Pelodiscus sinensis: one gene and its partner. The protein of the gene in region 2 binds, or shares a complex with, the protein of the main gene of each other region. Links are inferred from orthologs where the notes say so. Each region holds a gene or a part of one and is shown on either strand. Other genes may lie near its edges. The genes, in order: ELMO1 and DOCK5.

Region 1 (9,641 bases), on a different chromosome or scaffold from region 2:
AGTCTCCAAGAGTCTTAAAAATCCATCATCTTTTATAGGAGAGGTTTTTTTTTAATAATGACATATAGCACACAAGAACTTCAGGCAAACAATAAGGTTAACTGACTATAATTCAGAGCTGTGTAAGGGCCAAAGAGACAATTGTGACCATCAGTTCCAAGCTCCTATATAATACAAGCCATAGAATTCCCCTGAGTTAACTTCTGTCTGAACTAGAGCATCTCTTTTAAAAGCATCCAATCTTGATTTAAAAAATTGTCAGTGATGGAGAATCTACCACCACCTCAGTTCTAATGTTTAACTAACTTCACTGGTTTAAAAAAAGAAATTCTCCTACTTCTAGCCTGACTTTGTCAAACTACAGGATCTTCTTGTACCTAGCTCTGCAAGAGTGAAGTGCTCTCTATCATCAAATTTGATAATTGTCAAATTTCTGTTCCCACTCAGATACTTATGGACTGTGATCAAGCCACCCCTTAACCTTCTTTTTTTCCCCTCAGTGTAAATAGATTGAGTCTTTAAATGAGAGATGGGGAACCTAAGGCCCAGGGGCTGGATCCGGCCCAAGGCAATGCTCATGCTGGTGCTCCAGTCCCCCCACTGTCCCTCCACGGGGCTGGAGTACATAAAATCTACCAAAGGCTCTGGAGAGGAATGTCTCCTTCTCGGGGGGATGGGGGGGCGCCTGCCTCAGTGAGGGGCTTCTGCGGTTTGTTTTTGTTTTTTTTAATTTTTTGTTTCTCACTTGTGTGCGGTCTCTGATTGATTTTTCTGTGGGTCAGCGGCCACCAACCCAAAAAAAGGCTCCCTGCCCCTACTATAAATAATATTTTCCAATACTTCAATTATTCTTGTGGCTCTTCTCCAAACCCTTTCCAATTTATCAGCAGCAAAATGCATCATTTGCTTCTGGAGACCTGAATTCGAGTGATAACAGGGTCATAGATTGGGGAGGAAATTGTGTTTCATGACCTCATAATCTCAAATGAATCCTTACCAAAATCACAGAACCACAAGAGACTTTCATGTTATGCTTGCTAATCTATTCAACAAAGGTGAGGCCCAATGTTGGAGTAACTGGAGGTACATACTGCATGACAGCATGGAGGAGGACTGGAAGAGCTGTGTAAGAAAGCTTGCACTAATCACAGTTATGCGTAAGGATGTCAGTCCCTCACTTTCACATGCACTAAATTTGTGTCTTATATTTTACAAAAGAAACAATATTTAAATCAGGCATTATCTGTAACAACATGGAAAATATGAGATCACATCCAAACACCTCTGAAAAGCCTGACCTTCATAGCAAAGAAAATGTGTGAGCTCAAACCTAATATCAAAGATATTTCTATTAAGAGAGTAAACAAAGAGCGGAAGGAAGGGTGGAGCATCAGCACTGTAGATCTGCAATTTGCCACAGAAGGGCATTGCTATAAGGAAGTATCATACATGCAGCAGCATTTCAGTAACAGTTAAACCTCTAGGAGCACTTACTTTTTCTATTATACACTGGTAGAGAGCATGTAACAAGTTGGCAATAAGGGAGGGGAAATCAAGTCCTCTGACAGTACAATGAACTCAATGTAATACACTTAAATGCTAAGAAATGGAATTGAGTAGATCATTGTTGAAGTATTGTTTTGTTTTGTTTTGCATCAATCTATTGCATTTCTAAAAATATTTTCCATATGTAATCTGTAAAATGCATTGTTAAACTAGTTACTTTCAATGATAAAAATACAGTTGCTCTATCAATGAGTAAAAGAGTCCACCTAGCTAGTCATCAAAATCCATTCAGCTTTAATTCCATTATATTTTTCTAGTGTAATTCAACAACTTCTGGAAAATTCAAAAATCAAGAGAGTAGAAAAAATCCTCAATTTATTTTCTACTTCTTATCAAAGAAACTCAGCCAGCAACACTCTTCCCTAAACTGCAATTTACAGAGAAGACATAAAATGTATAATGCTACATTGTGATCCTCAATAGGATTACAAAAAATGATTAGCCCATTTAAATGTATAGCTTCACTGCCTACAGAAACTGACAGTTACACAGATCTCTAGATTACTAAATCAAATCAGATAGTCAAAGATCTACATGAACTGCTATATCTGCCAAAAGTATCTATTTAATACAGTTAATGCAGCATCGCGATGCTAATCTTTATTACCCAACACACACAAGTAAATTTTAAAAGTTGCTGCAAGATGATTTAATCACTCCCTAAAATTTGTGTTGTCATATGTGCTTCCTTAATGCTACACCACAGTGAGGTTTACCAGTAAATTACCACTAGTTCTTTCTCCTTACTACCTATGTACTACTACACAGTCAGATTACAGCTATTAAATATATCACTAGAATTAAATAGTTCTTTTTCCATTATGGAACTGGCTGGCTTGGAAAACAGAATAGTTTTGATGCACAGACAATTTGAACTCAAGGTTGAGCATGAAAAGAGCCAGGAAAAATGCAGGTATTTTTCTGCATTTGAGAAATAGTCAGCATAGGTTGAGCTACTTAGGAGGCATGTCACTAAAGAAGCCAGTTAGCAATAAACACTGAATGATCTCTAACATGTAGAAAGAGCATGGTCTGGTACCCCATTCACTGATGAGCTAGTCAATCCAATTGCCTAGCCCACATCCCACTTTGAGTAATAAAGGATTTTGTTGTAGTCATCCTTAACTTTTCCCTTCATAAGATTTTAATAAGGGACAGTGCAACAGCCTAAGCTCAAAGTCTAAAGAAAAACTAGATACTTGTAAAGGTATTTCAAATGTATGTATTTACACCACAAATGAGGTTCAAATTATAGACAATATTGTCTATATTAAAGAAGTTAGCACATTATACAGTTCTGGCACCATTATCTTCTTTGGCTCTGTCTTCTCCATGTTTGTCCTACATTTTACCCTTGACAAGTTAAGAGGAAGGCTTACAAAATAATAAAATATGGCTCTTCCCAAATGTACTCAGCTATTTTTCCGAAACTTTGAAATTTATTTTCTATATTCTCAAGAGTGAGCTGGACAGTTGTGTTAATTCTGCAAGGGAAAGATAATCAACATAAACTGCAAGGGCTTTAAGCCAAAAAAACGGAACACTCCACTTCTTAGATTTCATACCCACTTGGTTTAAGGGGTTGTGCACCATGGTTATGCATAATTTCCACCCACATTCCAGCACAATAATTTTATATGAAAATGCATCCTCAGATTATTTGTATAACTATGGGTACAAATCTTAGAAAAGGCAACCCCTTACTGAGAGCTCTTTTACAACTGACTAAAAGTTCTTGGCAAAGAGAGAAGGCATGAACTCAGAAGGTGACTAACTGCAATGAACTAAGGGGCTGGCCTAGATGCAGAGTTGCATTGCTTTAATTTAAGATGTCTTTTTAAACTAATTTGATAATCCCTGCAAGATGCTGTACTGTAGTTCTTAACTGTGTTTCAATCAACCTTATTTCAATGTATCTTGTACATTTTAGAAACAGATATAAATTAAACCAAAATAAGCCATTCTTAAACAGAAAAAAAGAGCATCCATGCTACTATCAGCAGTTACTAAACCAGAACAAGTTTGTATGCAGAGAACCCTTACTCTTTAGGCTTCAAATCTATGATTGGGTTGGAGGAGAAAGGAGAGCAAGGACCTTTAGTTCAACCACCTTCCACCAACATATTAAAAGAGTCTCTCAAATCTTCAGGATGATCCCCCCCAATGCATTAGACACACGTGCCCAAGTGACACACAACTACCCACTGCTCTGCAGACAGCCTGCTTTTGCCTGAGTGCATTTGCAGAGGACACGCAAATTGCTAACGCAGATGTTCCCAACCCACTTTATGAGGTCAACCGTCTCTGAGACCAAGTTGCCACGGCCCAGCACTTTGGAACAAGAGGAGCAGCAGAGAGGGATCTGCGGGCGGCTGGAGAGACATCAACCCCCCCAGCACTCAATTACAAACACAGCGCCCAGCCCTGAACTCCTCTTTCGGGGTGTGACTGGGAGGGGGAGGCCTGGGGCAGGGGGTGAGGGGCGGAGCAGAGCCGGGGCAGAGGGAGCAGGCGGTGTCACGGGGGCGCGAGTGAAAGGGCGGGTCGGGGAGGTGAACGAGCCCCCCCCCCACACACACACACACACACACACACGCGCGCGCGCGCAGCTGCCGGGCCCGGGGCTGTAGCCGCAAAGCAGCCGCCCCGCGCCCTGACCCGGAGCAGCCGGGCGCGCTGACAAGCACGCGGGAGGGCGGCCGCGTTTCCTCTTCCTCAGCGCCGATGTCAGGCAGCCGCTTCCCCCCTGCCCCGGCCGCGCTCCACCCGCCGCCGCCTCCTCCCCTGCGGGGCCGGGCAGCCCCCGGGACGCGTCTCCCTCCTCCCCAGCCGCGGCCAGGTGCGGGCTCTGCTCCCGCCGCCGGCATCCTCCCCCAGCGCCGCCCCCGCTGCCCTCAGCATCCCCCGCGCGGGAACCTGCCGCGCCCCACCTCAGCCCCCCGCAGCGGCGCCTCTCCCCGCAGACCTGCCCCAAGCGAGAGGCGAGTACCTTACAAAACCCGGCTCCACCGTCAGCGGCCGCCAAGTGCAGAGCGGCGCCGGGGGCAAGTTTGCTGCCCTGCTGCAACCAGCGCCTGGCAACTCCGTGGTTTCTTTTCCCCGGCCCGCGCCTCTCCCACCATTGAAGTTGAGCTTTTGACCGCTGCTGTTTTGGTATTTCTGACTCTATCCCATCATCAGACTCAAACACACACACACACTGCTGCTGCTGCTGCTGTTGCTGCTGCTCTCACTTCCTCTTCCTTCCTCCTGCTGGCCACACACCCAATTTGCATCTGCAAGAAGCCCCAAGATAATCTGCGAAGTATCTCTGAAGGAATGCTGAGTAGTTACCAGCACCTGCAAAATGCAGGACGCACCGTTGTGCGTTGTGCGCATCTTTCATGCTCTTTCTGTAATCTTTGGGGTTTTACAATCTACATGGCATGCTGTGATCATGTTTCTTCCCACGATCTCCATTTTGTACATCCCCTTTTAAAAATCACTAAAATGTACAGAATTTTGAAAAAGAAACCTCAGTACTTTTGCTCTAACAATCTTAAGAGATTTTTCATTGGCTGCAGTGAATGATTTTGCAACAGCACCCTTTTAGCTGTTTCTACATAGAACATAATTTTCACTTAAAAAAGGATAAGCAGCATTCAGGTGATCCTGCTACTTAGCACAAACTCTTACAGCATGAGCCGCAGGAGAAATCATCTTTAACTTTCAGCAAACATGACACACACTTCTAGGGTGCATCTACAGAGCACCAGAACTCAAAATTAGATACACAATTTGCATAGCTTAAATTGCATATCTCAGTGTTTCTCAAACTGCTCCACGGAGCCCGAGACATCTCCAGGGGCTCCACGAGGTAGACAAACTGGAAACATAGATAGGTACAACACATACAATCAGTGGACCGCCAGGGCTCTGCATACATTTTTACGCATGTAAAGGGCTCCAGAGCCCAAAAAGTTTGAGAACCACTGGTGTATCTTATTTCAATGCTGTTTCAAAATAGCTTATTTCATTACTTGGAGCTGTCTGCACATTGCCAAATTTCTAAATAAAGTGCTATTCTGAAATGTCCCTTACTCCTCGTAGAATAAGGTTTACAGGGACATCAGAATAGCAAACCCAAAATAACAGGCTTGCTGTGTAGACAGTGGATATCTATTTCAGGATACTCTAGTATCCTGAAATAGCATTGCATTGTAGATCAGTGGTCCCCAACGCAGTGCCCGCAGGCGCCATGGCGCCCCCCGGGCCATTTATGTGCGCCCGCGGAGCAATCTGGGCTGGTCCCGCCCCCGGGCGTGCGGCAGGTGCCAGCCCCGGGCACATGGGCGGCCCCTGACCCGGGGTCGTGGCGCATGCCAGTGCCGGCTCCATGCATGCGGCGCCTGGGCGGCCCCTGCCCAGGGTTGCAGCACATGCTGGTGCCGGCCCTGGCCCCGGGGGCACAGCACATGCCGGTGCCAGCCCCATGCATGTGGCGCCTGGGCGGCCCCTGCCCGGGGTCACAGCACATGCCGGTGCTGGCCCCGGGCGCGCGACACCTGGGCTGCCCCTGCCCGGGGTCACGGCACATGCAGGTGCCGGCCCCGGGCGTGCGGCGCATGCTTGGCCCCACCCCCAAGCACGTGGCCCGTGAGCGGCCCCGCCCCTGTACACGTGGCACGTGAGCAGCCCCGCCCCCAGGCGCCCGGCAGCCCCAAAACGTTGGGGACCACTGGTGTAGATGTACTCATAGGGTGCGTCCACACATCAGGGCTTAACTTGAAATAAGCTACACAAATTGAGCTATGTCAATTGCATAGTTTATTTTGAAATAGCTTATTTTGAAATTGGGAGTGTCTACACAGCACTTATTTCAAAATAGAGCACTCTTCCTCTGTCTTCCCTTACTCTTCATAAAATGAGGGTTACAGGAGTCAGAGTAAGAAGTCCGGCTTGACAGTATTTCAACATTCTTTTGAAATAATTGTCTGCTGTGTAGACGCAGACTACGTTATTTTGAAATAACTCGTTATTTCAAAATAATGTTGCTGTGTAGATGTACCCATATAGTTCAGAATACATCCAGGAGAGGGTGGTAGCACTCATATGCTTTATAATGGATTTTATCAAACGATTAGTAATTTTGAGTGTCCAATTTAAGGAACCCAGCCTGACTTCCAGGAAGTGCAAGCGCCCACTGTCTGACAATCAGATCTCTTTAAATGTCTTTAAACTGCCCCAAAATGGAGGCACCAAAAATCACTAATAACTTTGGAAAATCTTAGCTAGTTCAATACATATTCACAAAACCTATCCTCAAATATCAGGGGTTCTTAGAAGCTCAGATCTTGCTTTTGAATCAAGAGGCCACCTAAGAACTTCCCATTTGTTCCTGTTAGAAGTAGTGTAATATTTGTGCATAATTTATATATTTTTTAAATTATTTATCAATAATTGATGAAAAACACCAACATTTTCAGCAAATACTGGTGTCAATACTACAAAACTTACATATGGGAATAACTGCTTAAATTAATAGTACCGTTGCTTTCACTTTTATAAAAGCACTCACATGCTTAAGTGCTTGCAGGCCTGGGCCCTACAATTACAGTACAATTGCAATACACCAACTCATGTTTATGTGCACCATTGACCTTGAAGAATCGCAGCATTTTAGGCCCCCTACTTGAACTAGAGAAGATGGTGGCCTGTCCTTTGGAGTAGGAAGTTTTATCTCACTGTTTCTATGAAGTTCAGAGTGGTAATGGTATGTGTGCTAGAGCTGACTAAATAATTCAGTGTGAATTAGTCCGTGGTACTACTCACTTAAATAAAACTACTCACATTAAAATGCAGATCTTGTGAATGACCGTGATGGTGATATCACTGATGAGATCACATCTCCAAGACCTGCACATAGAAGTTCTCTGCCACATGTGAACCCAAAAGGGTTGCCAACATTCCAGGATTCGCCTGGTATCACCTGGAATTGGCATGGCTCTTCTGGTGACTTGAAAATAAGCCTGGAGATTTTAATAGGCAATTTTAAGAAAATGACATTATGACATGTTAGGGGGTGGGAGCGGGGGGAGGTGGAATCTCCAGAATAGCTTCAGTCAGAGTTGACAACCCTAGAAACCTACTCTGTATTGTCTTTCCGCCTGCCTGCATGGTAGGAATGACCTACTGCCAAAAAGAGCCCCAGTAGAGCCATGATACTCAGGGATCCTCACTGAGATTTCTTTCCTCTTGGCCTCAGCCTGGTGCAGGAAGGGGTGTTTTGGCCTGATATTTGCAACCTGTGAATGATAGCTGTATAGTACATACTTTGTTAGACTAACTTTAATTTTAAAGTTGTGCTAGTTTTTAAATTAAATAAAGCAAATCATTTACAAAATGTAAAGATACAAACCAGATACGTTTATATTTGTGTTTTCACATATGTTTAATTCATAGTTAAGTGACATAATGAGGTATCCAGAAAGAAAAAGAGATAATAGAAGGGACGTAGAGAAGAACAAAAGTGAATTATAAAATCCTCCAAGAAACTGCTGCTTTCAAGTTTATCCAAGAAGAGAGACCAATCAACATTTGGTGCATGAAATTCACATTGCAGGTAAATGGATTTGTTAAATGGACTGGGAGGGAAGGGGAGAGGGTGTTTAATTGTATTTGTGTGTTTTGTGTTGTATTGTTTTGGTAGGAAGGAGGGTTGTCTAGTTAAATAAATACACAGGATGGTATAATTTTACAAAATATTTTAAACATTTTGTTTACCTATTTTTTTAAATATCAACTCTGGCCCAGATCCTGCAAACATATATACACTTAATTTCATCACTCACAGTTAAGTTAAGTATGTGTGTAAATGTTTGCAGGACTGGGGCATTGAGGTTATTAAAAGTTTTAAAAAAAATAAAATGCAATGTAGTGTTGTTTAGTTAACTTCTATTTTTCTGTCAGATTGGTAATGAAATCAGTGACGTCAGTGTTGCTTTTAGTTTCTTAGTACTGGATTTCAAACTCTATAGGAGAATGTTTATGACTGATATCGGGGAAAAACTAGAAAGCATTCTGAAGACTAGACGCCTCTGATGTGCTCTAGATTATACACAGATCAAGTACTGGCAGCAAGTATACATCAATTCTGAGTTGGAAAACTTTGGATGAGAATTCTTCCATGCATTCCTCAATCACTGGTCTCTTTCAAGTGTCCACCACTAAGCGTACCCATCACTACCCATGATGATAACAGCTTTTGTGCACTAGAGTGACTCCCATTGACTTCACTGGGCCCTGAATCAGCCCCTAAGAACTGGAGTTGGTACATTTGCTAAGTATTTCCAAAGAGCCAGAAGAGGGAGCAAGGGAGCACAGTATGCTGAATACTGTGTATTTTATTTTGTGTGGGGTATTTCAGCTACAACCCTAAAAATAAAGGCAAAGATTTTCAAAGGACTTATGATATTTGGTGCCCTGCTTGAGACACCGCAACGGGGAATCAAGCAGGTTCTCGGCATTTTCTGAAAATCATCTCAAGTTGATCATCCAAATTCTATTATTTTTAAAAATCAGTGCCCTGTCCTTGAATTCATGTAAAGATCTTATGACTATTTTTGTAATGGTAGGGTTTCTACATACAGTTTTCATTGTAATCATTGGGGTCCAACATCCAGCTTGCTGCCCTTTAGTTCCACAGATGGATGTACTTCAGAATTGCTATATGTATATAGATCTTGTCTTGTAAATCCTTGCTTCCATGACTAGTCTGTATTCATATGAGAAATTGCATTGTCTACATAAAATAAGGATTTACAGGTTCACAGCCACAATGTTTAATGCACTTTGAGGTGCAAACTGCCATATAAATGGTATCAGATTATTATTCTTTTTTTATCACAGATAATTTATTTCCTTTTAGTGCTTTGAACATGCTAGTTTATTTGTTTACAAAATATTTTTGCAAATAGTTTATAACAGATTTCAAAATTGTGTCAAAATTGCTTGACCATGATGGCAGTAATTCTAAAAAGAAGTGGCTTGTGGAACTTGAACTTCAGTTCCTACTTTATAATATGCTTACAAATCTC
Region 2 (10,583 bases):
GGCCAAAGGTCCATCTAGCCCAGTATCCTGTCTGCCGACTGTGGCCAATGCCAGATGCCCCAGAGGGAGGGAACACAACAGGTAATCCTCACGTGATCCCTCATGTCATCCGTTTCCAGACAAACAGAGGCTAAGGACGCCATTCCTACCCATCCTGGCTACTAGCCCTTGATGGACCTAACCTCCATGACTCTAGCTCTTTTTTGAACCCTGTTAAAGTCCTAGTCTGTACAACATCCTCTGGCAAAGAGTTCCGCAGGTTGACTGTGCGCTGCGTGAAGAAAAACTTCCTTTTATTTGTTTTAAACCTGCTACCTATTAATTTCATTTGGTGATCCCTCGTTCTTCTGTTATGGGAACAAGTAAATAACTTTCCTCATTCAATTTTTCCACACCAGTCATGATTTTCTAGACTTCTATCATATCTCTCCCTATCCCCCATAGTTTCCTCTTTTCTAGGCTGAAAAGTCTTTTTAATCTCTCTTCATATGGGACCCGTTCCAAACCTCTAATCACTTTTGTGGCCCTTCTTGAACCTTAACAGTAACGGAGGAGTCTAAATGCCTTTGAGGATCTGGGTCCGAGTGCTTTGGAACTACTCATGAATATATATTCCCAACCTCCCTATGAAACAGAGAGACTATTCACCCCTAGTTGTACAGGTGGGGAACTGAGACACAGAGAAATGAGGGGCTAATTGAGTTTAAGGGGAGCTGTGAAGGATCAACAACCCTTAAATTCAAACTCTAAGAGGCCTTGGGCCAAGGTCACATTGGGAGGAACTGGATGTAAATCTCCTTAGTCCCAATAAAGGGTGTGTCTAGACTACAGGATTTTGTCGACAAAAGTGGACTTTTGTCGACAAAACTAAACCTGCGTCTACACTTCCGCTGAGTTCTGTCGACAGAACGTCGACAGAACTCAGCAGTTTTGTCGACGCTGATAAACCTCATTTTACGAGGCATAACGCCTTCTGTTGACAGAGTTCTGTTGACAGAAAGCGTTATTGCATCTAAACTGTCCTTTGCATCTACACTGCCAAGTTGACAAAGCAGCTTGCTTTGTCGACAGAACTGAATGTAGTGTAGATGCTCTTTGTCGACAGAAGCTTTGTCGACAGTATCTGTCGACAAAACTTCTGTCGACAAAAGCCTGTAGTCTAGATGTACCCATAGTGTCTCAGTCATCAGACCATCCCTTCTACATTGTTAAACTAGAAGATTTACTGAGCGTCGCTTGGGTCCTTAACTCAAAAATGTTCTGTTTTTCTTCATTTAAACCATTGCTCTGGGGTAGGGCTGGGGACGAGGGGGTCAGTATGGAGGCTGCCCTGGGAGAAAGGACAACCCCAGCCCTCTCATTGCAGCAGCTTGGGGCCAGGTGAGAAGTGCTTCTTCATGGCCACTGCACCTGCTGCAGGCACAGCCAGTGGAGGGGTGCATGTCCTCCAGCTGGGGGATAGATAGACACACAAAGACATACAGACCCACAAACAGACAAACTCTCTAAAATATATAGTAGATACCTGTTCCTTTCTCCACCCTTGCCCCCTGCTGGCCCAATGGGATTATAGCTGTCTTGATCCCCATCTCTGGTCCTTTGCTGCCCCCTGTGGTCATTTTATAGTATAACTGTCCCTCCTCCCAGACCTCTCCTTTTTCATTTGATGAGAAACAGTCGAATTCTAAGCACATCCCATTGTCCTGGCACAGCCAAACTCTGACCCTGCTTTAAGTTATGATAACAGGAAGCTGCCTACCAAATTTGGTGTTCCTCTTTGCTCTTACCATTTAGTAGAAGTTCTTGAACAAACTCTCTCATGGACAGACACACAGACAAAGTTTCCAAAATATATAGTACATTAGTATTGATGGGCCAAATTCATCTCAATCAGAATTTAGCCTATAGGTCTGTTGAGGGAATAGACTCCAGCTCACACTCCCAGGTCTATGTTGGTTAAGCAGTGATATATAACTTTTTTTTTTAATTGAGCAGATATGACTAAAGACTCACAGGGAGTAAAAGTGAAGAAGGTGCAACTTACCCAGAATCACTTCTCTAAGCAACAACAAAAAACACAGCGAGAGGAAGGAGATACATCTGGGACTGTTTACTAGGCACAGAACTGATGTTCTATGTAAGAAAAATTCACCCAACTTTTCCTAAATAGGACACGTCACCAGGTGTGTTTTGCTTTTTGTTTTTCATTTGCTGCAGGGAATTTGCCTTGCCTCGCCTGGAAAACGAGCAGAATCTTAAACACGTTGAAAACAGTTGTGTCATGATTGTAATGTTTCTGACACCAGTACACAGCCAAAGTTACCAGCCCTCTGTGGTACTAGTGGCAGCAGGGGGCCGACAGCTTCTGCAGACCCCTGGGAAAGGTGTGTGTGGGGTAGCTCCATGTGCCCCTAAGAGGTGGGGCTTCAGGCGAATGGGGCAAGGCTGGTGCAGCCAGCTCTTAGTGCCGACCAGACCGTGGCACTGGACTCCCCAAGCCCTCAGAGCCCCAGGCCTTAGAGCTCGTCTTAGGGGTGGGTGAGTTAAGCAGTTGCTTGGAGATGCCATTTTCAAGGGGCCGCCAATGGAGCCAGTGATAGGGGTGGGCCACAAACCCCATTTCGGCCCAACATCACGAGCCATCCCGCTACATTTCCCTGGTTACTCCCTGACCCCCCTTTTTTTGCTTTACAAATATTTGTCCGTTTTTTTTTTTTTTTTTTAATATATAGTAGATAGCAACCCTACCCGGGTGAGCTGGGCAGTCGCCCGGGGCCACCAAATGCCCCTTTGAATCACGGCAACTGCCCCCTTTGCCCATCCCCTATTGGTGGGCCTGAGTAGCAGCAGAGAGTTTAACAAGCTACACTTGGAGGCTCATATTAAGGAAAAAAAGCTCCCATTTACGCATCTAAATAAGGGCCGGATTTTGGAAAGAGCTCAGTCCCCGGGCATGTCTCCAATATGCTGCGTTATAGTGAAAACATGGACACTTAGTTTGGTGCTTTTCTCGATAATCTGACCCCAACCGTGGGGTGGGGCCCTTTTCAAAATGGAGCTCTTTATGTCTAGTCTATTTCTCTCTTCTCCTTTTGCTCCGACAGCTCAGAAAGCCACTTCAAAGCGTGGTGCCTGTGATAAGAAACAGGAGTTGTGTCTGCTCCAGCCCTATCTAAGGATATCCTAGGGAGGGGTGCTGTAACTGATTTGAATGTTTGCTCAAAGGTAACACACTGCAGCACACAGCAAAATGGTTATTGGCTTGAAGCACTAATCAGAGTTGTCTACTACAAAAGTATTTCTCAACCAGTGGTACGAGTACCCTTAGGGGGACTTGAGAGACGTCTGGGGGCACGTCAACCCAACTGAAATTTGGAGAAAACTGAATTTCTGTTTTAAGTTTTACAGCGTTTTATTATTTTTGTACTTTTTACAGCCAAACATTTCATCACCCACCTGGTTACGATTAAGTTGTTTAAACAAATGTGTTGCCATGGTAAACACAAACTCTGTGTGTCTGAAAACTGTAGGTACTGGGGGTACTTATAATTATTTTTTTTAGAAGGTTTAAAAAAAGGTTGAGAAACACGCACTTTTGGCCACATGCGTGGTCTTGCACAGGAACGCAAGGCGAAGGCTGCACCATCTCCTGACTCAGCACAACTGATCCTTGGCATAGGATCATAAAGGTGGGATGGGTGAATCTTATGGAGTTCAGGGATTTGCAAAACCCAATTTATCGGACAAGTTATGTACAGTAGGAGAAGGACAGATGTTCTACGTGCTTGATCTTTATTCTTTCTCATGATTTCATACAGTGCTCACATCTCAGGGTGAGGGAAAGGATTTTGAAAGGTGCTGGGCACCTCCTGTCAGGTGTCGGGAACCGTCAGGAGGTTTCGAGGATCCGGGTCAGAAACGATACAGTGTTAGGGACAAGGATCCTGTCTTACATGCCACATGTCAATTACCTGGTGTTATGTAAAGAATAAATTGTTCAACTCGTTCTGACTTGCCTCTTGTTCCAGCCACGAAACACACTCGTCTCCGATCTGCTGGTCAGAGTTACCATCGCCCATCCTCAGGGTCCAGCCACATTCATGGCCTTAGGTGTGTTTGTTATCATAAAGGTACGGCCGTCACAAAAACATCCTGAGCAGCGCTTGGAAACAAATGCACGACATCTTTTTTAGTAGATGGCTTGGGTTTTCTAAACGAAACTGGGTGTAACCTTGCAACACTTCACCACCACAGGATGACTAACTTACTGTGCATGTAACAAACCCTCCAGCTACATATTTTGACACCGCCAGGTATATTTAAAGATACAGTACAGTATGGACTGTAGTAGTAAAAGCAGTTCTTGATGTGTGAAACTAAGCTTCTGTCTTGGGAGAAGAGGCAAGATATTGTTTATTACAGTAGGACCTACAGGACCCCACTATGCAAGGCACAGCCTACGGAGAGATGGGAGGGGCTAGCCAATGGATCTACATACCCATTCTACATCATAGGCTATGTCTACACTCGCAGTTTCTTGCGCAAGAAATATGTAAATGAGGCTAAGCATGGCCTATTGCTGAGCCTCATTTGCATACCTAATGAGCTGCCATTTTTGCAGAAGAGGCTCTTGAGCTAGAAGGAGCTGTCTACACTGCTCCTTCTTACGCAAGAAAAAGCCTCTTGCACTATGCTGCTACGCCGATTACGTAGGAATAACGGTATTGCACAAGAGGGTTTTTCTTTCGCAAGAAGGGGCAGTATAGACAACTCCTTCCAGCACAAGAGCCTCTTCTGCAAAAATGGCGGCTCATGAGGTATGCAAATGAGGCTCGGTGATATTCCACGCTTACTCTCATTTGCATATTTCTCACGCAAGAAGCCGCGAGTGTAGACATAGCCGCCGACTCCTACTCAGAGCAGCTAGACTGCCCTGCTATTCAGAGCCCTGGTTCCAAGCATAAATGCACCCTAAAGTTACATCAGTAGTAGCCACATCAGTGTTCCCTCTAATCTTTCCCATCTGTGTGTGGAATAAATTTGTCTACATGCACCAAGGCACGAGCAAATGTGCACCACCAATAGAAACACAAACCTAGCTGTGGGGTCTCTCCCGTTGCACCTCCAGCTCCCCCTACTTTTTCCCCACCTGTGTTATACAAGAGAATGTCTTGGGTCCATCTGAAAACCTTCCCCACCCCCAGTGATTTTCCTCACTGCTAATGGATGATACCTGGTTTGGGGGCATAAGCCTCAAACCTGCACCCATCAGTTTGCAGGAGCAGGGCCTGCAGGTAATGGAAACATAACTGGGGGGAGGTGCCTTTGAAATGGCTCATCCAGGGTCCCAAGCCTGCACAAGCTGAAGTCAAGACGAGTTTTGAGCCCGTTCGGACACCTTGATTGTTCCTGCTCTTGCCTTTGTTTCCCCAGCCCTGGGAATGGTTTTAGGGCAGGACTCGTCATTCCAGCCCAATGCAAACTCAGCCACGCTGCTCGTGTTTGGAAACCTCCCCCACCCCGCTTGCCCCTGTCCCGGATTCGCTTCGGGGAGCGTGAAGCGAGGGTCTGGCACCGGGCTCCGCTTTCCCCAAGCCCATGCTGCGGCTTGGCTCGCCTCCCCCCCGCACGTCAACCCTGGCAAAGCAGCGAGGCGGGGGAACGCTTCGGGAGCCGCCGCCGCCTCTGGACTCGCTCCCGGCTGCGGGGGGCAGAGGGTTAACAGGGCTGCTCCGGAGCCAATCCCTGCCCGGCTGGGAAGTTGCCCAAGTCTGGGGCGGGGAAGGGGGCGCAGAGCGGAGGGTGCCGGGGGCAGAGGTGCAGCTCCGAGCCCGGGCTGGGTGGAGGTGCCCTGGGAAGGGGGCGCTCGCTCCGAGCCCCGGGGAGCCGCGTTGCGGGCGCTGGGGCGGGCGCAGCAGGTGATCCCTCCCGGGCAGGAGGCGGGGAAGGGGCCCGGCGCCGGGAAGTGAGTCGCCGAGCGGCGGGTTCGCAGCGGGGCCCCGAACATGGCGGAGCAGCCCGGGGCGCCCAGCCCGACCCAGCCGCGCCGGGAGCCGGGGGCAGCGCAGCGCCTGCCGCGCTGAGCCTCCGCGGGGAGCGCCCGGCCGCCGCCGCCAGCATGGCCCGCTGGATCCCCACCAAGCGGGAGAAGTACGGGGTCGGTGAGTGCGCGCCCCGCCGCCGGGAGACCGCCCGGCCCCCCGGCTCCCCGCTGCCCCCCGGGCTCCCCGCTGCACCCCCCCCCCCAGGCTCCCCGCGCTGCATCCTCCCGTTGCACCCCCAACTCCCCGCGCTGCACCCTCACGGCCCGGGCTCCCTGCTGCACCCCCCCTGCTCCCCGCTGCCCCCCCGTCTCCCCGCACTGCATCCTCCCGTTGCACCCCCAACTCCCCGCGCTGCACCCCCAAACCCCCTCACGGCCCGGGCTCCCTGCTGCACCCCCCCGGCTCTCCGCGCTGCACCCCCCCGGCTCTCCGCACTGCACCCGCCCGTTGCACCCCCAACTCCCCGCGCTGCACCCCCTGCACGGCCCGGGCTCCTCGCTGCACCCCCAACTCCCCGCGCTGCACCCCCAAACCTCCTCACGGCCCGGGCTCCTCGCTGAACCCCCCCAGCTCCCCGCACTGCTCCCCCCTGCACTGCCCGGGCTCCCCACTGAACCCCCCCAGCTCCCTGCACTGCATCCTCCTGCTGCACCCCCAACTCTCCGTGCTGCACCCCCAAACCTCCTCACGGCCCGGGCTCCTCGCTGAACCCCCCCAACTCCCCGCGCTGCACCCCCCCTCACGGCCCAGGCTCCCCACTGAACCCCCTCAGCTCTCTGCGCTGCATCCTCCCGCTGCACCCCCAACTCCCCGTGCTGCACCCCCAAACCTCCTTACGGCCCGAGCTCCCCGCTGCACCCCCCAGCTCTCCGCACTGCACCCCAACTCCCTGCGTTGCACCCCCCCCGCACAGCTCGGGCTCCCCGCTGCTCTTCACCCCCCAAGCCCTTCCTGCTGCACCTCCAACTCCCTCCTGCTGCACCCCCACACCCAACACGGCCAGGGCTCCCCGCTGCACCCCCTAACTCCCCACACTGCACACCCCCTAACACCCTCCTTCTGTACCCTCCACCCCACATGGCCGGGGTTCCCCACTGCACCCCCACATCCCTCATGGCCCAGGCTCCCTGCTGCACCCCCCCCAACACCCTTCCGCTGCACGTGCCCCCCACCTCGCACTCCCGGGTTCCCTGCTGTACTGCCTGGGCTTCCCACTGCACCCTCCCAACTGCACCTCCCCCGAACATCCCCTGCATTGCCCGGGCTCCCCACTGCACCCCCCCAGCACCCCACTTTGCCTGGGCTCCCCCGCACTCTGCGGTCTGCCCATGCCGCTCTGCCCATTGCAGCCCCCACCTTGCCTTCACTGCAAACTCCTTCCAAATATCCCCCCCACTGCAATGATCACTGCAGCCCCCGAACACCTTCTCCAGTGCAAACCCTATTTCAGCCCCCATCCCGAACACTCTCCCCAGGCATTCTCCATGGACGCCTCTCTCTGCAACTCTTCACCCCGTATACTCCCCTCACTGCAGCGCCCTCCCTCCCACTATAGCCCCCAGTCCTAAACACCCCACCCCCCGCAACCCTCGACACTGCCCCTCTGCCCTACTGCAACCCCCCATCCTCAACACTCCCCCTGCACCCTTTGCCTTATTGCAAATACCTTACAACCCAAACACTGTCCAGCTGCCCCACTACAGCCCTCCAACCCAAATGCTCCTCTAGTGCCCTGCCCTGTCTGCTTTCCGCTGCCTGGATTTCCCTGTACACCCTCCTACCCCAGTGCATGCGCTCTCTTGCTGTTCCACTCCACCCCCATGCAACTCCCCCTCTCTCCTCTGACCCCACCCGCTGCGTCCCCAGGCACTCTGCTATGTCCTCTACTCCACGGGCTCTCAGACTTCATTGTACCACCACCCAGTTACTCTGTGAAGAAAGTCTGAACCCCATCTCCTGGCCTAGGGGGGACAAAGTTAATGAGCAAAGGCTTCAACCCCAGGCAGCAGGCCTGAGCCCTGGCAATCCCATTAAAACGGGGCTGTGACCAATTTTCCCTCTAATCTTTTCCATCCACGTGTGGATTTTTTCCTCACCCATGTGCAGAATAATTTTTCTATGTGCACTGAGGTATATGCTTATGTGCACCACCAGTATAAACACAAACCTAGCTGTGGGTGCTCTGCTAATCAGCTGGGTGGCACTTGAATCTCTCCTGAGCAGTTGCCCAAGCACTCAGCTTACAGGGAACACTGGTAGGGATGTTAAAATTAGATTAATCAACGAATCAAAGAGTCGATGGAATTTTCATCGACTATTCATTTAGTCGAGAAAGGCGCTTTTGCTTTGACATGTAGCAAGAGCCGGCTGGGCTGTTGCTATATTTCAAAGGCGGAAGTGCCCTGCAGTGTTTCGCCTTTGAAATGTACAAGATCCCCAGGGTTCTCTGAGTCCCCCACTGGCCCCAGACTCCAGGTGGCGCTTCCGCTTTGGAATGTACAAGAGCCCCAGCAGGGACTCTTGTACATTTCAAAGGTGGAACGCCGCTGCTGCGCACTTACCCCCTCCCACGGAGCTGGGGGGAACCGGCTTTTAAGCCGGTTCCCCCACCCTTCGTATCCCTTCCTCTTCCACTGCCCCCTTGCTTCCTCTTTGAGATAGAAGCAGCAAGGGGGGAGAAGGACTGGTGTGTCAACTATCTGATAAGCTTACATCCCTAAACACTGGTGGTGACTCACTTGTGGGTCCTGACCCACAGTTTGAGAACTGCTGCTTTACTCCCCCAGGGCGCTTCCCCTCACACGCTACGCCAGCCATCTCTGTGTATGCACCTATGCAACCTCTTCCCCCACCCCAACATGCCTTGCTCTCTCACTATGCACCTCCCTCTGCAGCTACCCCCTCACCACTGCGCTCTCTGAAACCCCTACCCGTGTTCCCTTCTCCCTCAGCAGCCCCGCCTGTGGTCCCAGCGAATATTCATCTCCCCTCTGATTCGTTATTTGCGTAGCTCCTGCCCCACAGCACCTGCGATTCCCCCGCCCTACTGCAGTTTCTCTCACCCCCTTCACCCCACATTGATTTTTCTCTCATTTGTCTCCACCCTGCTTATTTAATTTCTTCTCCCATCCCCATTCGTGACCTTTTGACTTCATGCCACCCACCCCTTCTAGCTTGCCCCTTTGAATTCTTCTGACTGCATTTTGATTCCCTTGCGCTACTCTTTGATTCCTCCCTCCCCCCCCCCCCCCCCCACTTTGGTCTTTGCCTGGAGCTTTCAGCTGCTGATATTCCTTGGGACTTTATTTAGCTTCGAGACCTTGGAGTTGGAAGGGGGGATCGAGACCCAGCGTAGTTCTGTGTTGCTTTGGTTTTCATTCACTACTGCAAGTGTGTCTCCTGCCTTAGAACTGACCCTGGTTGTGGGGTGCTTGTTGGCACTCCAGTCTGCCTCTACGGCGGCCTCCGAAGGCCATCCAGATGGGGAAGGAAGGGGGAGACAGCGACAGTGACTGTGCTGCAGTGTCTGGCTTCCTCGCCCCCATGGGTTATAGGGAGGGGAATGGGGTACGGAGGACTGAGGGTATGTCTGTGCAATGATTCCGGGAGAGGAAGCTTCACCGAGTGGCATAGGGAAGTGGGAGTGGAGAGAGAAGCTGCAAAACTGAGGTGGGAGCTGCCTGGCGGCATTTTAAAATAATCATGAAATGCTGATTTACCACCTCTTAGAACAAACATAGCACTCGCTGTCCGGCTTCCCCTTTTTGGAGAGCTTGATGAATTGAAACCCACAATTGTTTGAGCCGGTGTAGAAAATACCCTTCAGAAAACAGAAGAGCATCAGGCAGGAAACCACTAATAACACAAACCATCCTTCAAAGCTTATTTTAACAAGGCAACCCCTTCTTTTCTCCTGGGAAACTTTTTGAAGTGGAGGAAGCTTTTAAATTTAGTAGTTGAAAAGTGACTGCTCTGGTGAGGCTGTTTGGTACCGTTCCGCCCAGCCATGAAAAGAGATCAAGGCCCTGATCCTGCTCTGGATTGCACAGGATAGGGCGTCTGTTGACTTCAAAAGGGCCCTTGTAACTGCTGGGCTGGCCCGCTGCATGGTCAGGGCTGAAGTGTCATTTTATGGCTTAATGAAGCGTTAGTAAATGTAGCATGGACTTATCTAGCTGCTCCCCTGGTAGCTTTAAGGGCGGGTGACGCTGCACACCCTGAACTTTGTTTCTTTCTGTGCTGGCAGTAACTCAGGCTCTCTCGTACGTTGGTATATTTCATTGGGGGTGTGGGAGCCGGTGGCTGTGGATCCCCCCCTCCCACCCCCCCGGGGTTTCTCTGAGAGCTGCCAGCCTTGAGAATGTATAACTTGCATAAGGATGTGAAATTGACAAAAATAATCCTCACTTGAACACACTGTGTTCAGACCCACTCCTGAGCAAGGCGTGTTAGGAGAGCTGCACTCCGCTCCAGGAACAGCCTTCGGTGGGAGGTGACTCAGACACCATTCTTTCATGTTTCAGGGGTTAGTAATTTGCA

The links.
Region 1: the proteins of DOCK5 (region 2) and ELMO1 are in contact, whole or in part, in a cryo-EM structure (PDB 8JHK), measured with the Homo sapiens proteins. The link is inferred for Pelodiscus sinensis from reciprocal best matches to the Homo sapiens genes DOCK5 and ELMO1. Residues at the interface, in NP_079216.4 of Homo sapiens: Met1, Ala2, Arg3, Trp4, Val14, Ala15, Ile16, Tyr17, Asn18, Ser22, Gln23, Gln30, Ile31, Gly32, Asp33, Thr34, Glu39, Tyr41, Gly43, Trp44, Arg46, Tyr48, Lys56, Ile58, Pro60, Glu61, Thr62, Tyr63, His65, Leu66; in NP_001193409.1 of Homo sapiens: Ile7, Val8, Lys9, Ala11, Tyr18, Pro19, Leu21, Glu23, Glu36, Asp39, Gly40, Ser42, Asn71, Gly72, Gln392, Asp393, Leu400, Glu401, Lys468, Arg531, Glu535, Leu536, Lys539, Leu547, Gln550, Gln551, Asn554, Arg555, Asn582, Thr688.

Annotation. Positions count from the first base shown.
Region 1 is NC_134712.1:168,649,192-168,658,832, reverse strand, and holds the start of ELMO1 (engulfment and cell motility protein 1), read right to left. Parts: upstream 4,814-9,641; 5' UTR 4,556-4,813; intron 1-4,555. UniProt on the Homo sapiens protein: Involved in cytoskeletal rearrangements required for phagocytosis of apoptotic cells and cell motility. Acts in association with DOCK1 and CRK. Was initially proposed to be required in complex with DOCK1 to activate Rac Rho small GTPases.
Region 2 is NC_134738.1:9,590,805-9,601,387, reverse strand, and holds the start of DOCK5 (dedicator of cytokinesis protein 5), read left to right. Parts: upstream 1-5,674; 5' UTR 5,675-6,118; coding exon 6,119-6,161; intron 6,162-10,583. UniProt on the Homo sapiens protein: Guanine nucleotide exchange factor (GEF) for Rho and Rac. GEF proteins activate small GTPases by exchanging bound GDP for free GTP. Along with DOCK1, mediates CRK/CRKL regulation of epithelial and endothelial cell spreading and migration on type IV collagen.